Lepisosteus oculatus: one gene and its partner. The protein of the gene in region 1 interacts with the protein of each later gene in a pairwise test. Links are inferred from orthologs where the notes say so. Each region holds a gene or a part of one and is shown in the gene's direction. Other genes may lie near its edges.

Region 1 (7,191 bases):
TGGCTCTGGACTCAAGCGCATTGTCTGCCCTTGCTCTGCTGGAACTAAGTGCTGCTTTTGAGACTGTTAATCATGCTGCCCACAGGAATTACTTAGAGACCCATGCTGGCATATCTCGGCTCGCCCTTAGTTGGCTTGGCCTTGATTTCTGATCAAAAGCAGTTTGAGTCAATAGGAAGAACTCTTTTGGTGACTTCAGGTGTTCCTCACGGCTTGGGTCTGGGCCAATTTCTTTCCAGCACCTCTGTGTTACAACTGAACGTGGTGATTAATGTATCTGTCACCATGGTGTTAATTTCCATGCTGGTGACATTGAGATGGACACGTGGACTGATCTAGGTGTCGTTCTTCTTACGGGTGACTTCTCAGAGGGTAAAACCTGGATATAACAACATTTCTTGCAGCTCAATATTGACAATGGTGATGTGAATGGAACTGGACCACCACAGAGTCTGTGCAGCATCAAGGTGTTTAGTGTGGTTCTGAGCCTGATGTTGAGAAACTGGTCCACACCTTTAGGATCGCCAGATTGGACTAGCTCCTAAGCACACTATGCACAGACTACAGTCTTTACCAGATCCAAACCTCCATATGAATATCACTCCTGTTCTAGCTTCCCTGCATTGGCTACCAGTATAGGATAGGGGTTAAAATCCTTGTCCTTCCCGACAAAGGACTACACAATCAGGCTCAAAAGCTTGCCGAGGTGTTATGCTCCATTCCAACAGCTCTGCTCCTTGGCTTGCTGTGTGCCCCATGATAAAACACCATATCCTGGATGCTATGTTTTCTACAGAGATTTGGAGGGCTCTACTGAAATGATACAGGACTCCCCGTCTCTGTCGGTCCTCAAAAGCCATTTAAAAACACATTTCTTCATGCTAGGGTCTGCTAAGTTTTAATACAGAAATGCTGTTTTTTTTTGTGTTCCTTCTACTTCCATGCTGTTGATTGGTCACCTCCAGGGTAAAGCGTTTTTGACATGTCTTGACATGAAAGGCGCTACATAAAATAATTATTATGAATGCTATTATTTTAAATAATATTCTGTCTAACATGGGGCAAGTCAGATTTCAAGGTGTAGCTTCCTTCGCCTTTTAGGATCTCTTATTCAGTCACGATCACTCATACGATCAAAGGCCGTAAATGCTGTGATAATTGCTCCTAATTGCCGACGAGGAAGGGAGCTTTGTTGTTTGGGATGGTCCTGTTTTTCACGCCTGATGCGCCTCAGAAGCAGGGGGTGAGGTAAGGCAGAGGGGTCTGTGTGATTGACGGCTCAAGTCACACCCACTAGAGGAAACAGAGCTCCTCCCCTTCTCAGCCATCCTGCTCAACAGCCACACGCGCGCAGGCAACGCACACACACACACAGGCTGACACATGGGGTTCTGTAGCAAAGGGGAGTGCTGCATTCAGCCGGGAATAGGAGTCAGGTGGCTATGACTTCATCTCTTTTCTCAGCTTATGAGGTCACCCCTCTCCTCATGCTGTGTGAGCCTCTTCCCTGTAACAGAAGAGTCTGGAAGCACGCTGACACACCTTTACAGCAGCTGCTGCACCAGGCCCGCAGTGGACCTGTGTTGTCCTGTCTTTTCTTAACTCCCCCCCTCTGATGCCACTCTCAGATCGGATATAGAGGGCCCCCTTTTAAAAGAAAATAATGGCTTCGTATGACGGCGTGCTTCTGCGGTGTTCCTCCCCATTTTCTCCCTCTGTCCTTCTCTTGCTTTGGGGATGGATGGGGAGGCTCCTGTTCCAGAATTCGGTTGCAGAATCCCCGGGAGTTCTCTCCGTGGGAAGCTGGAGAGGGCCTTCGTAGCAGAGGAGGGGATTCTCAATAAATCCAACACAAAGTGAGCCAATCGAGCACATACTGGGCTACGTGCTGAGGCAGAGTGGTTACCAGTATAACTGGCAATGCTCCTCCTTCCAGTACCTGGCTTTGCTACCACGGTGGGTTTTTGGCTCTGACTGGCACACCGGATACAGGTCTGTACAGCACAAGACCTCACTTCTGAAAGCCAGATTTCCTGTGGCCTTTAAAGACGACAGGTGTTTTCTCCACAAGTATTCACTATAAAAGCACCTGCAGCCTGCCTTACGTCAGCTTCCCAGCGAATGAGCTACTTTAAGCTGCAGGCTGACAAAGTTCTGCTCTGCAAGCCCACAGACCTCTGTATTTCTAAAACTCTTGGGTGCCCCTGGTTGCACCGTCTGGGGCTGGCTCCTGTTCCATCCCTTCAGAAGAAGAGTCCGAAGGCGGAACTGCTCTCTTGAAAGCTGAACCAAACTTTTCAGGAAATACTCACCTGTGTTTTGGAATTGTCCAGTGGCAAATTCTTCTACTGTAATGGATACCGATTTAAGACTGTAAACTAGTTTGCAAATGGGAGGATGTCAGCTGGTTAACTCGCCATACAGCTCAACTGGGAAGGCAGTAAAGAAGCTGGTTTGATCTTGGTTTTACGCAGAGTGGATGGTCTCTCCCCGACACTGTCCGTCTGACTGAGCCTGTTGCACACGAATTCGAACCTTTGACCTCACTCTTTCAGTCTCAGACCAGCATGTCTGCTCCTGGTACGGTGCTGCACTCCAGTAACTGTTAGCTGGGTGTCAGACTGCTATTTTATTCTTTATTCTCCTGCTCTTTCTTTCCTCCTTTGAGAAATCAAAAAAGGACTTTCTAGTTCCCCCAAATTATCCAGAATCTCTGATTCCACACAGACCTGATCACCATGTTGCTTTAAACTGGATATCATACTCAGACATGACTGACTGACGCATGGCTCTCCCCACACAGTCATTTCAAATGACAAAACAATATTTAAAAAGTACCTTGCAATGCTGGGGCCCTCAGTTCAATTCCAGACCTCGGCACCTGTCTGTGTGGAGTTTGCATGTTCTCCCCGTGTTTATGGGGGTTTCCTCTGGGTGCTGTGGTTTCCTCTCACAGTCTGAAGACATGCTGGTGGGTTAATTGGTTTCTGGGACAATCAGCCCTGTGTGAGTCTGTGTGACCTGCGATGGACTGGTGTCCTGTTCTGTGTGTGTGTGTCCTGCGATGGACTGGTGTCCTGTTCTGTGTGTGTGTGTGTGTGTGTGTGTGTGTGTGTGTGTGTGTGTGTGTGTCCTGCGATGGACTAGTGTCCTGTTCTGGGTGTGTGTGTGTCCTGTGATGGACTGGTGTCCTGTCCAGGGTGTGTGTGTCCTGTGATGGACTGGCGTCCCTGTGCCTGCTGCTCATCTGGACAGGCTCTGGCTGCTCCCAAGACCCTCAACTGGAAGAAGTGATTCGAAAACAGCCGGATGTCATTGTAATTTTAAATTTGACTTAAGTGTGCATCAATTCAGGTTGTGGAACAATGTGTATACATGGATCAGACAATTGGATTGGTAAGAAACACACAAAAAAGGGCAGTTTGAGTTTAGCTGTGCAGAAGGGGGTCTAATTAATTTCCCCTAAAGTATTTCTTAAAATCTGAGTCTTAGGGCTTCTTATAACAAGCCGTTGGATTAACTTTGAAAATGCAAGGGAAAAAGACAGAAGTGTCTTTTTTTGCACTGATATTTTACTGAGCATATATGATATAGGTCAATTTATGTTTTATATTTTAATGTAGTAGCTTTTAGGATCTCAACCCAGCACTGACATGTGGCCCTTTTGATCATATGTGACATTAATATCTAATTAATAGACATTGAATTAATGTTTGCTGGTGCAATTCAGATACGTGACATTAATTGACAGACTTTGATTTCATATTTGTTGGTACACCACTCAATATAGAGTAAGTCCTCATTTTAAGGACTACCACATTTAATTGACTATTGAGAACGCTTTCACATACAACACAGACGGCAAGTGATCGAACATTGGTCCACAAGGGGGCAGTGTGCACAAAGCAAAATAATTTCAGAGCAGCAAAAAGCCACATCAGTTCCCTGGTTATTTGTATAACACCGACGGTAGATAGGGATCTTTATTGTCTTTCATTTACATTTCCGAGATTGATAGTAGGGACGCACACAAATGAGACGCTATCTTTGATAACGAAATCGTTTTAAAACGAGGTTAGCGGTCGCCAGTGCGCTTTGGGTAGCGTACCCGTCATCCCGCGCGAGTGGTCAGCGGCGGTTTTCTTGAAGTCTCCCCGAAGATTAATCGGGATTTAAATGAAGAAACAAACAGACAAGAAGTCACCGAGTCCAGGAAATCGGCGGATTGATGCCGGCCCGGTTCTCAGGTAAAACGTCGCCCGTATTTTCTCTGTCTGTCGCTTGTTATCGCCTGTTCGTCATGAACTTGTCTCCCTTTGCGTGCTCGACTCTCTTTGAGAGAGATTTCCCCCTCGCCCCTTTGCAATGCGGGATCTGGAAGTAGCCCTTCTGAAAAGCTTGTATTGACTGAAGCCAGATGCTCTGTGCGCTCAGAAAGCAATGGTATCAATTACCCACAATAAGGAAATTAACACCTGCGCATGACCCAAAACAAAACAGGAGGCAAATTCGACACTATTTAAATGTGCGTCGGGCTGTGTAGGAGAAATGAGAAAGAGGCAGGTGTTTCTTTGAGTAAAAGTGGCTCATGGCGTCGGCTAGCTCGTCCGTCCTGGGGGTGTTCGGACGAGGGTGGCTGCGGGTTTAAAGTTTGCCGCTATCTGCAGGAGCCCAGCTGTGCTCCGACAAATAATTCTGCCCCAGAATGAGGTGCCCAGCTTTCAGGTTACAGTAGTTGTCGTTCCTGCGGCTTGAAACGGAAAAATCGTTTGTGAAAGTTTTCTCTTTCGTTTCCGTAAGAAACTAGTAATCCACGTGTCGGGAATGAAACTTGGGCCGTGAGTGTGAGTTCTTCACACTGGCCGGTGAAGAACCGTGTGCGGAGATTGTGTTTGTGAGCACGTTAAAGGCGGGTCATCGAGGCGCCTCTTGGCTCAAATCATAACATAACTTTATTAGCCCTTTACAATTTCTTGCATTAGGAATTTGTCTTTTCACATACTCCAGCTTGCTCTCCTTGAGACACACAGACGGGGAGAGAAGCTGGGGGTCAGAGCGCAGGGTCAGCCATTTATACGGCGCCCCTGGAGCAGTTGGGGTGAAGGGCCTTGCTCAGGGGCCCAAAGGAGTAGGATTCCTCTGCTGGCTGCCGGATTTGAACCGGCAACCTTCCAGCCACAGAGCCACCTCAACAGCTGTTAGGGGTTTCTTCCCGGATCTCCAACATCGGCCCTCCCAGGACACTGTCCTGACGACTCGGGCAGTCAGCCCCTTGTGATGAGGTGGACTGCTTCTGGCCTCAGTGGATGCAGTGAAGAAAACATGGCTGTACTGTGACATAAGGGGCACAGGGAGGGGAAACAGCACAGAGATGGGTCTGAAGTGCAGTAAAAGAAGTCGTATATGTTTGAATTGCAATTACGATGCTTGAGAACCGGTGTTGGATCCTACAGCTGTACTACCCAGTAGTAACGTGTTGGCGATCACCACTAGATGGCGGTACGGAGCCGCGTCGCGCTCTGTCTGTGGCCGTGTTCCCAGGTCTATAAAAATATATTTGACACAATGAAACCCCGAGAACTGGGCTCCGCACCAAATGCAACTTGAAACTTGTACTTTTATTTTTTAAAATCTTTTTGCTCCAACTGCTCTCCCCGCCCCCCCTCCAGGCAAATCAACTGACTGCAAAAATCGGCCGTTTGAAACTGTGCTGCACTACAGAGGCAGCTTAGCGGTATTCCAACAGTATCCGAATACCGTCTCTTTTGAAATGAATTCGTGTGCATCAATGTCAGCGTGCAGAGAAACAACATTCCCAGGAGAAAGACCAACGGGAGCTGGCTACACAAACAGGGCATGCTCCTCTGCTTCAGGGCTCTGAGTGGGCAGTTTTGTGATGGAGAAGGTGGTTTTCTGATCTGCGTACAAAAGAAGGGAAGAGTCCAAATACTTCATAAATAACTTAAGAAAGGTCATTAAATAACTGAGTTTAGAGTGTCTCCTTATTGGTTCATATGACATTTTTCTTAAATTGTTACAGCTGTACCAGTTGGTGCAGCTGGATGTCTTATTGGAACAATCTGAGAGGATGTGTTCTGCTCAAGTAGGCAGGGACTTGAACCCAAGCCCTACTGCACCACACTGCTTTGTTGAAGGCTCAGACCTCATTTGAAATGGGGTCCCCACCTGCAGTCTTTGTGGGTCGTAGTCCAGGACGTTCTTGGGAACCGTTTGAACATCAAGAGCTAAAAAGGGCAATGGGGAGGATTTAAACGGTACTATTCAGCATAAAAGTACGATTAAGACATTTTTAAAGATGAACACTTTTCTTTAGCTCAGATGCCAATCCAGAGGACGACTTCGAGGCCAATAGAGAAACCAGGGTCCAAGCAGAAGCTTAGAAGACATTGTGTTGAGCTCTGGGACGGGAGGCGCTTCCTTACACCTAGAGTTGTAGGGGTGTGGAGCAAACTGCCTGGTCATGTTGTACAGCCCAGTTCAGACAGTTCCTTCAAGAAACAGGTCGAAGGAAGTCCACTGATTGTTATTGATTTATGGATCATTATCAATCAGTTTCTAGCAAACAAATGAGTAAGATGAGCCCCCTCTCTAACTCTTCTCTGGTCCTGGTGTTCTTTCTTGTGCTGTTAAGCTGTTGGTGTGAATGAAGCACGAAGCTTGCTGGGTTAAGACCCCCGGTGTCACAGGTGGGGTCCCTGCTTTGCGAGGCCGGATGTTTGTGCGTTGCTGTTATCGTGTTTCCCCCCCCTCTCTTCCCCAGAAAGAATCACTCTTCCCTCCCAGTCTGGGTAAGCAGCCGAACGCGCTGCAGGGACGTTCCGAAGGAAAAGGCAATTACACACCATGACACAGTCACACACAGTCACACACACATCCTACTCGCAGAAGTCAATCTGAAAGGCACGTTTCCGGATCTTTCTTTGTCGGTGGGTTGTGCTCTGTGCGATTCAGATCGTGGAGTGTTTGTTCCTGAGCAGCTGGGCTTTGCTGGAGGATGCGACGCCCCTCTCTCTCTCTCACACAGGCAGGGCTGTGCTTGGCTGAGTAACCCCTAGTTACCACGTTGTGTTAGTTTCCACTCACTCGGGCTGTTGTGGTTTTCCTACGTCAGGAAGTGGTGGTTTCCATGCTTTAGCCTCTCTCTTGGTTACACAGTACAGTTCCGATCGC
Region 2 (7,248 bases), on another chromosome or scaffold:
CAGTCCCAACAGCGACGATCAGTACACGCCGTGGTTTAAACGCGTCTCAAAGCGCCGGGCGTTTATTATTATTATTATTATTTAAAAAAGTGGGAAAGGGGGAGAGACCATAAAGGTGCCGAGGTTGGCTAATTGCCTGCACCTGCTACTATGTCAGGAATGTCGACTAAACTGATGCTCGTCCTGATACGACAAATTACCCCCCCCAGTCCTCACGCCAGCGGTCGGCAAACAGTCTTCTGGCACGTAAAGACTTTGGAAAAGAGCTGTCCAGCAGGACCTCGTGGCGCAACGGTAGCGCGTCTGACTCCAGATCAGAAGGCTGCGTGTTCGAATCACGTCGGGGTCACTCCTCCTTTTAGCCCCACATTTAACACCCATTCTCCCCGGAACCCGATTCATCATTTGTCAGATACGCCACTCGTGTTCCAGGCAGAGCGCTGCACCTTTTCAATTCAATTCACGAGGCTTTATTGGCATGTCCAATGAGTCAAACCAGTGCTCCCCAAGCAAAACAAATACAACATGAAAAAAAATCTGCAGGCATTTACAATAAAGACACGATCATACGATATTTACATATGGAGCATTATTGGGAGAGGCTCACTGCTCCTCAGGCTGGGACAGGAGATCACATACTTGGCTGCCAGTTCAACAGAGTTCCCTCCTCCCTCTCCCAGGAGGATTGGTACTTGTTGTGATTCTGGCAGGTGTGGGAACTTTGGGATTAGTTTTGTAAATTTGGGGAAGAATGTTTCTCTCCTCCCAGAATATTTGTCACAGTGCAGTAGGAAGTGCACCTCTATCTATATTCGCCGTCTTATAGGGTCAAAGCTGTATCCTGAGATGGAGAAAGATAGAGAAGGAGCCACAAAAAAAAAACGAACTAGGTTTTCCAGACAATCTGGAAATGACAGGCAGGAGAGACCCAGCAAGAGCAGAAGATGGCCCAGGAATTGTTGTTGGTTGTTCACAGAGATACCCAGCTAGAGAGCGTCACTCCAGAGCAGCTACTGCTGGATAGACGTGTCCCGACCGCAAATCATTACCACGACGTTTGGTCGATCAAATAATTATATTATTTCAATATATTGAACTAATATAGCATTCAATTGAACTCCCCCACCACCACCACCCTCCTTTAAAAATAAACAATTAAACTTTAGTAAGACAAGGTGACAAGAACGAAACTTAAAACTACGCACACGGAGTATAAAAGTGAGGTATTAAACTAGGATTACGATTATGATTACAGTGTGTTTGGAACAAAACGATTCAGGGGGGCTCCCAGGGAAATTGCTGCTTGATCCAACGACGGGTGAGCCGATTTCCTCCGGTTTACAAACCGGTCCCTCTGTCTCCATCACCGTTCTCCCGGGGGAAAGGGAAAGGCTCTGCGTCTACACTGTTGTTTGTCAACAGTGGGCATGTGAATTGTTTGGCGGGAATGTTCGGATGATTTGGTTTTAGAAGACCTTTACTTGGTTTTGGTTGGAAGGTGCCCATAAAACTGTATTTACTATTTCATTTATACAGTTGTGTATTTCTATCCTGCTGAAAGCATAATCCTTTCCAGAACACGAGTGTCACGGGCAAGTTCATGGGGCTGTATATTCTTGTATTTTACCTTGGTCAAACGTTTCCTTGGTTTTCACGCTTGGCCGTAGAATTATAATAATCCAGTTCTAGGAGACTGCATTGCAGCTTTCACCAACTGTATTGTTTAGACACAAACGTTTCAGATTTAGACTTATCACACGATAAAATTTGAATCCACTATATTGTCGCTACATGTCTGAGCTACCTTACTCAATTTTAGTATAGCATTGATAAGTACTCACCAGTAGACCACTTAAATATACTTGACCATGTGCATAATGTGCAAAGAAATAGCTTAACAGCAATCATGTCTTCCTACGCCACTGTGCCTGGCTGTGCTGTGACTCTAACCTACAGCATACAACAGGGAGAGGTACTGAACACCTCACCACAGAAATTAATTCCCTGTCGGGGTATCAGACACAAGACAAGACAAAAGCACAGACAAGAAAGACTCAAAAAGAGGGGAACACGCATAGGGAAATACAACTGCACAAATAACCGACAGCAACACTGTCACACAACAGTCTGTCTCTGAGTCATCAGCCTCCGGTCTCTGTACGTGCGCAGACTCGAGCCCAGCCATAAGGAACACCTCAGCAGGGGTGCCAGAGGGTAGGGACTTGCAGTACCATGTCCCCAGGAGAACCTCTCTCTCCGCCCGCCTCCCTCCTGACCTCCAGGAGGAGAATTCCTTCACCTTCATTCCTGATCTCCATCTGGTTACCGCAGGCCAGGGGTGGCCAGCTCTGGTCCTGCAGGGCCACGGTCCAGCGAGATCTACAGACCACCCTTATATCAGCAGTTGGGTAAAAACAAGGGTAATTGCGTTTCGACCACATAAGCAAGCAGGGCTGTCCAGTCCCGGTCCAGGAGGGGTCAGTGTGTCTACGGCAGGGCAGTCCAGTCCTGGTCCTGGAGGGGGCGCTGTGTCTACGGCAGGGCCGTCCAGTCCTGGTCCTGGAGGGGTCAGTGTGTCTTCAGCAGGGCCGTCCAGTCCCAGTCCTGGAGGGGTCAGCGTGTCTTCAGCAGGGCCGTCCAGTCCTGGTTCAGGAGGGGGCGCTGTGTCTACGGCAGGGCTGTCCAGTCCCGGTCCTGGAGGGGTCAGTGTGTCTACAGCGGGGCCGTCCAGTCCTGGTCCTGGAGGGGCCAGTGTGTCCACAGCAGGGCTGTCCAGTCCTGGTCCAGGAGGGGTCAGTGTGTCTACAGCAGGGCTGTCCAGTCCTGGTCCTGGAGGTTCAGTGTGACAGGTTTTCCAGGTCTCTTTAAAGCAGCAGCACCTGAAGAGCTGGGAGAAGCTGAGAAATGGCTCCCGTCAAGCCGGCATCCAGCTGGTTTAATTCACTAAGAGTGGAGCTGGAATGAAAACCTGGCGACACAGCGACCCTCCAGGATCAGGGCTGGGAACCCCACTTTCAGCTACATGGAACGTGAAAAAAAAATGATTAGTCCACAGTCTGTCCAAAGTGCAGGACAATACGTCCAAAGTTCCCAACCAAAAGAGGAGGATCGTTTTTGGGTGCAGGACATCAGGACAAGGGGCGGGTGACAGTCCGGAGTCTCTCTGGTATCAGGAGGTGATGAGGGCCAGCTGCATGGAGAGTCTCCACTTCAAGAACTTTATTTTCCCATCACAAAGAAAGATGGAAAAAAAGCAACAAAAACACTACAGCATTATATACCCACAGTTTAATGGCATATAATATCATATATATAAATGAAGACAGGCCAAAAAAATACAACTAAATTCACTTGGTTCAATAAAGGCAATATTAAAAGACAATATTCTACTTAAAGAGTTTTGCACAAGAACATCCCCTTCCTCCCTTGTGTGAGTTCTGTATAAGGACTCCTAGACTCTGGTATGGAATGCAGAGGAGAGGGGCGAGATTTCCTGCACCTGCAGGGACTGACGCTTTGTGTGAACCTCATTCTCGGGGTGTCCGCCAGAACCCCGCTTTTCACACTCCCCTCCCCCCCCCGAAAAGAGAGAAAGCTGCGGTATCGTGGCCTCGTGGTGGAGCCCAGGGGTCTTGATGCACTTTGTAAACGAGTCCCGTTCCCCAAGAATGGCCCAGTTCTTTCACAGGAGGCTTGTCCTCACATACTGTACTGTATACAACCCATAACACAGTGCGTTACGTGCCCCTGGACTATAGTGACACCAGTAGTAGTGCAAGCGTTGTACTTAGTACTTATTTCAACGCCACATTACTGGTCGAGATTGTCCGGCTTCCGAAACGCTTCTTAATCGGTCTGGTTCGTTGCCGTGAAGACGCGTTTGACATTCGGATAAGAAAATACTGAAGTGGTGCAGAAATCACCCGATTCATTGCTGCTACATTGCAACGCAACGGTACAACACCCGGCTATTCTACACTAACGAGCAAACTGATGCACTTCCAGGCGATTTCTGTTTTCCTACAAGCGCGTAATTATAATCCCATCATCATCATCATCTTTCCAGGGCTTGTTCCTCGCCGCAGCACAGTTCAGCCCTCAGTCCTGCTCGCTCCTGGCGCGTACAGACCCAGACCCCGGCTCCAGGAGCCCCTAGCCCTCAGCTTCTGCGCTCCAACTTGAAGCCAATGGCGAGGTCCTTTCTACAGCTACGCCGCCCAATGGCGCTCGGCTTTACTGGGCAGTGAGGCGAAAGCCGCCCCCCCCCCCTCTTTTCTCGCTGCTCTGGCTTCGTAGTGGGGCCGGGTTGTTTGTCTGCGCTCGCTAGGGTGGCGTGTTTTTACACACACACACACTTAAACAAGGGAGCTGGAACTACACTGCTTTCGCGCATCGCCGCAGCCGCAGAAACCCGGGGAGCAGGTCTGAAGCGCAAGAAGGAGAGGAAGGGGAGGGGTGGAAGAAAAGGATAGCGGTTCTCGCGAAGGATATCGACTGTCGTTGGCGTTACTGTCTTACTCCAACAAGAGGCGCCCGCTGCACGTTTTTTTTTCTCCCCGTCCAGTTCAATTTTCTGCGCGTCGTAGCGACAGGCGCCGATTCCCCGTGTCGGGTCACCACCACCAACACCACCACCACCACCACCAGCAGACATGTCGGAGTTCCTGGAGGACCCCTCGGTGCTGACCAAGGATAAGCTGAAGAGCGAGCTGCTGGCGAACAGCGTGCCTCTCCCGAGCGGCGAGCAGAAGAAGGACGTCTACGTCCAGCTGTACTTGCAGCACCTCACCGCGCAGAACAAGGCGAGGAGGAACCGGGGTGCCCCGGAGGCTTTCTCCAGCGACGAGGAGCTGCCGGCTGCGCCCCCGGTCAGCAACAGGAACCGCTCCGGGAGGGTAAGTCTGCACTTTGTCCCGGCCGCCGGCGGCGGCTGCTTGAAGCGCCGGCGTGCCTGCAGCTCTTGGTTACATTGTGTTTCCCTGCTGCGGGACCCGCTAGCTCAATGAAACGCCAGTTTGAAAAAAAAAGCGTGCAACTGTAGCCGGGGCAGGCAAGCTTGTATCGACTCTCCTGATTTTATTAACCGGTGACCGCGTTGTTTTAGCACTTATTTGTCCCATTTAAAAAAAAAAATAATAAGAGAGGACCGGGTATTTATTTCTGGTATTTCTTTGTTTTGTTTTAACCAACTACAGCGGGTCAAGATTGTGTCGGCTTGTGCCGGGGTCGCTCGTTCAAGCGCGGATTGTTGTGAATTGTCGCTTGTGCTCTTCGGTGGTGCCTCCTGTCAAAAGTTAGCTCTGGCCTGTGCAGGACCACCACCGCCAGCCAGGCATGCGTTACAATATGGTATAGAGGTCTGCATGTTTTCTCCGCTGTTTACATTTATTTCTCTTTGAAGAACCTTTTTTTTTTGGTCTTAGCCCAGACCGAAGTAGGTCTTCTACAGATAACGTTGATCTTGGGGGGGGGGAGAGACCACAATGCGGTGCATGAAGGCGATTGAAAGCGATTGGAGTGGGAAATGGACAGGTGCCGGAGTGCCCGTGTGAATTTTGGGGGGAAGTGCGAGCTTCATTCACCTGTCCTGCGAGTGTGAGCGATGCTGTCCCTGAGAATCGCCTCCGTCTCTCACTTTCCCGCTTAAACACTCGGACCGCCTTCGGAGCCGAGAGCCCCTCGCTATTGTGTGGGAACTGCCTTTCGCCATTAATAATTCATTTTCGGCTGCGCCGAGACGCGCCGAAATCATATACCTCGCCGGTGTTCAACCTGCTTCGAAAACGTCGTGCGTTTTTGTCTGAGCGGTTTCCGAGACGGAGATCGCAAACGGGTTGAAATATTTCGTAGCGTGGCCGGACGGCGCTTCTGTGTTTTGAATCCGACGCGGGCAGCCCGGTCACGCTGAAGGGAAATAAACAATAGAGCAAGAACGGGCTCTGCACGGAGTCGAGGAGCGATTGCACATCCGGATCAACCGTCTGGGCAAAATCACGGACAAATACGTGAAATGATCAAATCATTTTAGCTTAAGCAGTAAGAAACGGAAGGCGCGCATCGACAAGTACCGAAACTTAAAAAAATATGTTCTCTGAATATTCAACTGTAGCGGATCATCTCCATTATTTAAATCGAAGTTAAGGCGCTGCATACAAAAAAAAACTGCGTAGCGGGTATATCGTTTTATAAAACTTGATAGGGAAAATGTCTCTTGTGCGGAGTTCGGTAAATCACGGTAAATAACTCTTGGATATCTGAATAATAAAAATATCTGACCCCAGAGCCACATTCTGCGGTTCAAGATTTTGTACATTTGCTCCCCGATAGCGTCCTGCGGGTTGTCTTGGGGTGTGGGGGTCCACACGGGGTGGGTTCGGTCTTCATGTCACCTGGTGGATGGGTGGGGGGATTTGACTACTTTTTGTTAACTATTCTTGCCGCAAAAGAAAGATTTAAGATAAGTGATTAGATTTTATTGTCCCCTGAGGGAATTTTGTTTTATGGACACGCAGCGCTCCTATACATTTAAATAGAATGCAAACAAAAAAAAGAAGAAAAGAAAACATTGCACATTATTCTATTACAATAAATAAGAAAAACATTGTACATCAATCTATTGCGCATGTACAATATAACACACCACAGCATGTAACATTTATAGCGCATCACAAAAATACAAGTCATAGGTTTATTCCGTGCTGGAAAGAGAAGAAAGAAAACACCCTCTTCAGGTGTGAGCGTCACAAAAACTGTGTAGCGGGTAACGCCACAAAATAGGATCCGTGTCGCAAATAGTACTGTGGAGTTTAATAAAATAGACATGCTACAACACTTTCAAAAGGGCATACGTAAACAAGAACCAAGAGAAACAAGAAAAACAGCAAAATAACAATAACAAAAAAAAATTAATAAGGAGTAAAGAAAAAAAACCCTACAGAAAGCACAGGAGGACAGGTGTCCGTGTGGCAGCAGGGCGGCGAACTGGAGTTGAACTTTAGCGGAGTTGTGTTTTACCCCGGTAAAAGTGCGGTTTGTGCTGAGGCGGGTTGCTGTGCTTTTAACCTTGATTTTGTGATTTTTTTTAAACATTTTTTTGTGATTCTCGTATTTTGTGAGCTCGCAGAAAAGACATTTCATTGCCATCAACTACCGCTGCGCGCTGTATTGTTGTGCATTTGATCAATAAACTTTGATTTTGATTTGATTTTGTTTAAAAAGAATTCCACAGCTCTAAAAGGTTGTCATTTA

What was found.
Region 2: the proteins of lmna (region 1) and lamina-associated polypeptide 2, isoforms beta/gamma interact in a two-hybrid assay, tested with the Homo sapiens proteins (2 studies listed by BioGRID, with this or other methods). The link is inferred for Lepisosteus oculatus from reciprocal best matches to the Homo sapiens genes LMNA and TMPO.

Annotation. Positions count from the first base shown.
Region 1 is NC_090722.1:3,105,324-3,112,514, forward strand, and holds the start of lmna (lamin), read left to right. Parts: upstream 1-4,110; 5' UTR 4,111-4,247; intron 4,248-7,191.
Region 2 is NC_090702.1:48,996,417-49,003,664, forward strand, and holds the start of lamina-associated polypeptide 2, isoforms beta/gamma, read left to right. Parts: upstream 1-4,158; 5' UTR 4,159-4,652; coding exon 4,653-4,895; intron 4,896-7,248. UniProt on the Homo sapiens protein: May help direct the assembly of the nuclear lamina and thereby help maintain the structural organization of the nuclear envelope. Possible receptor for attachment of lamin filaments to the inner nuclear membrane.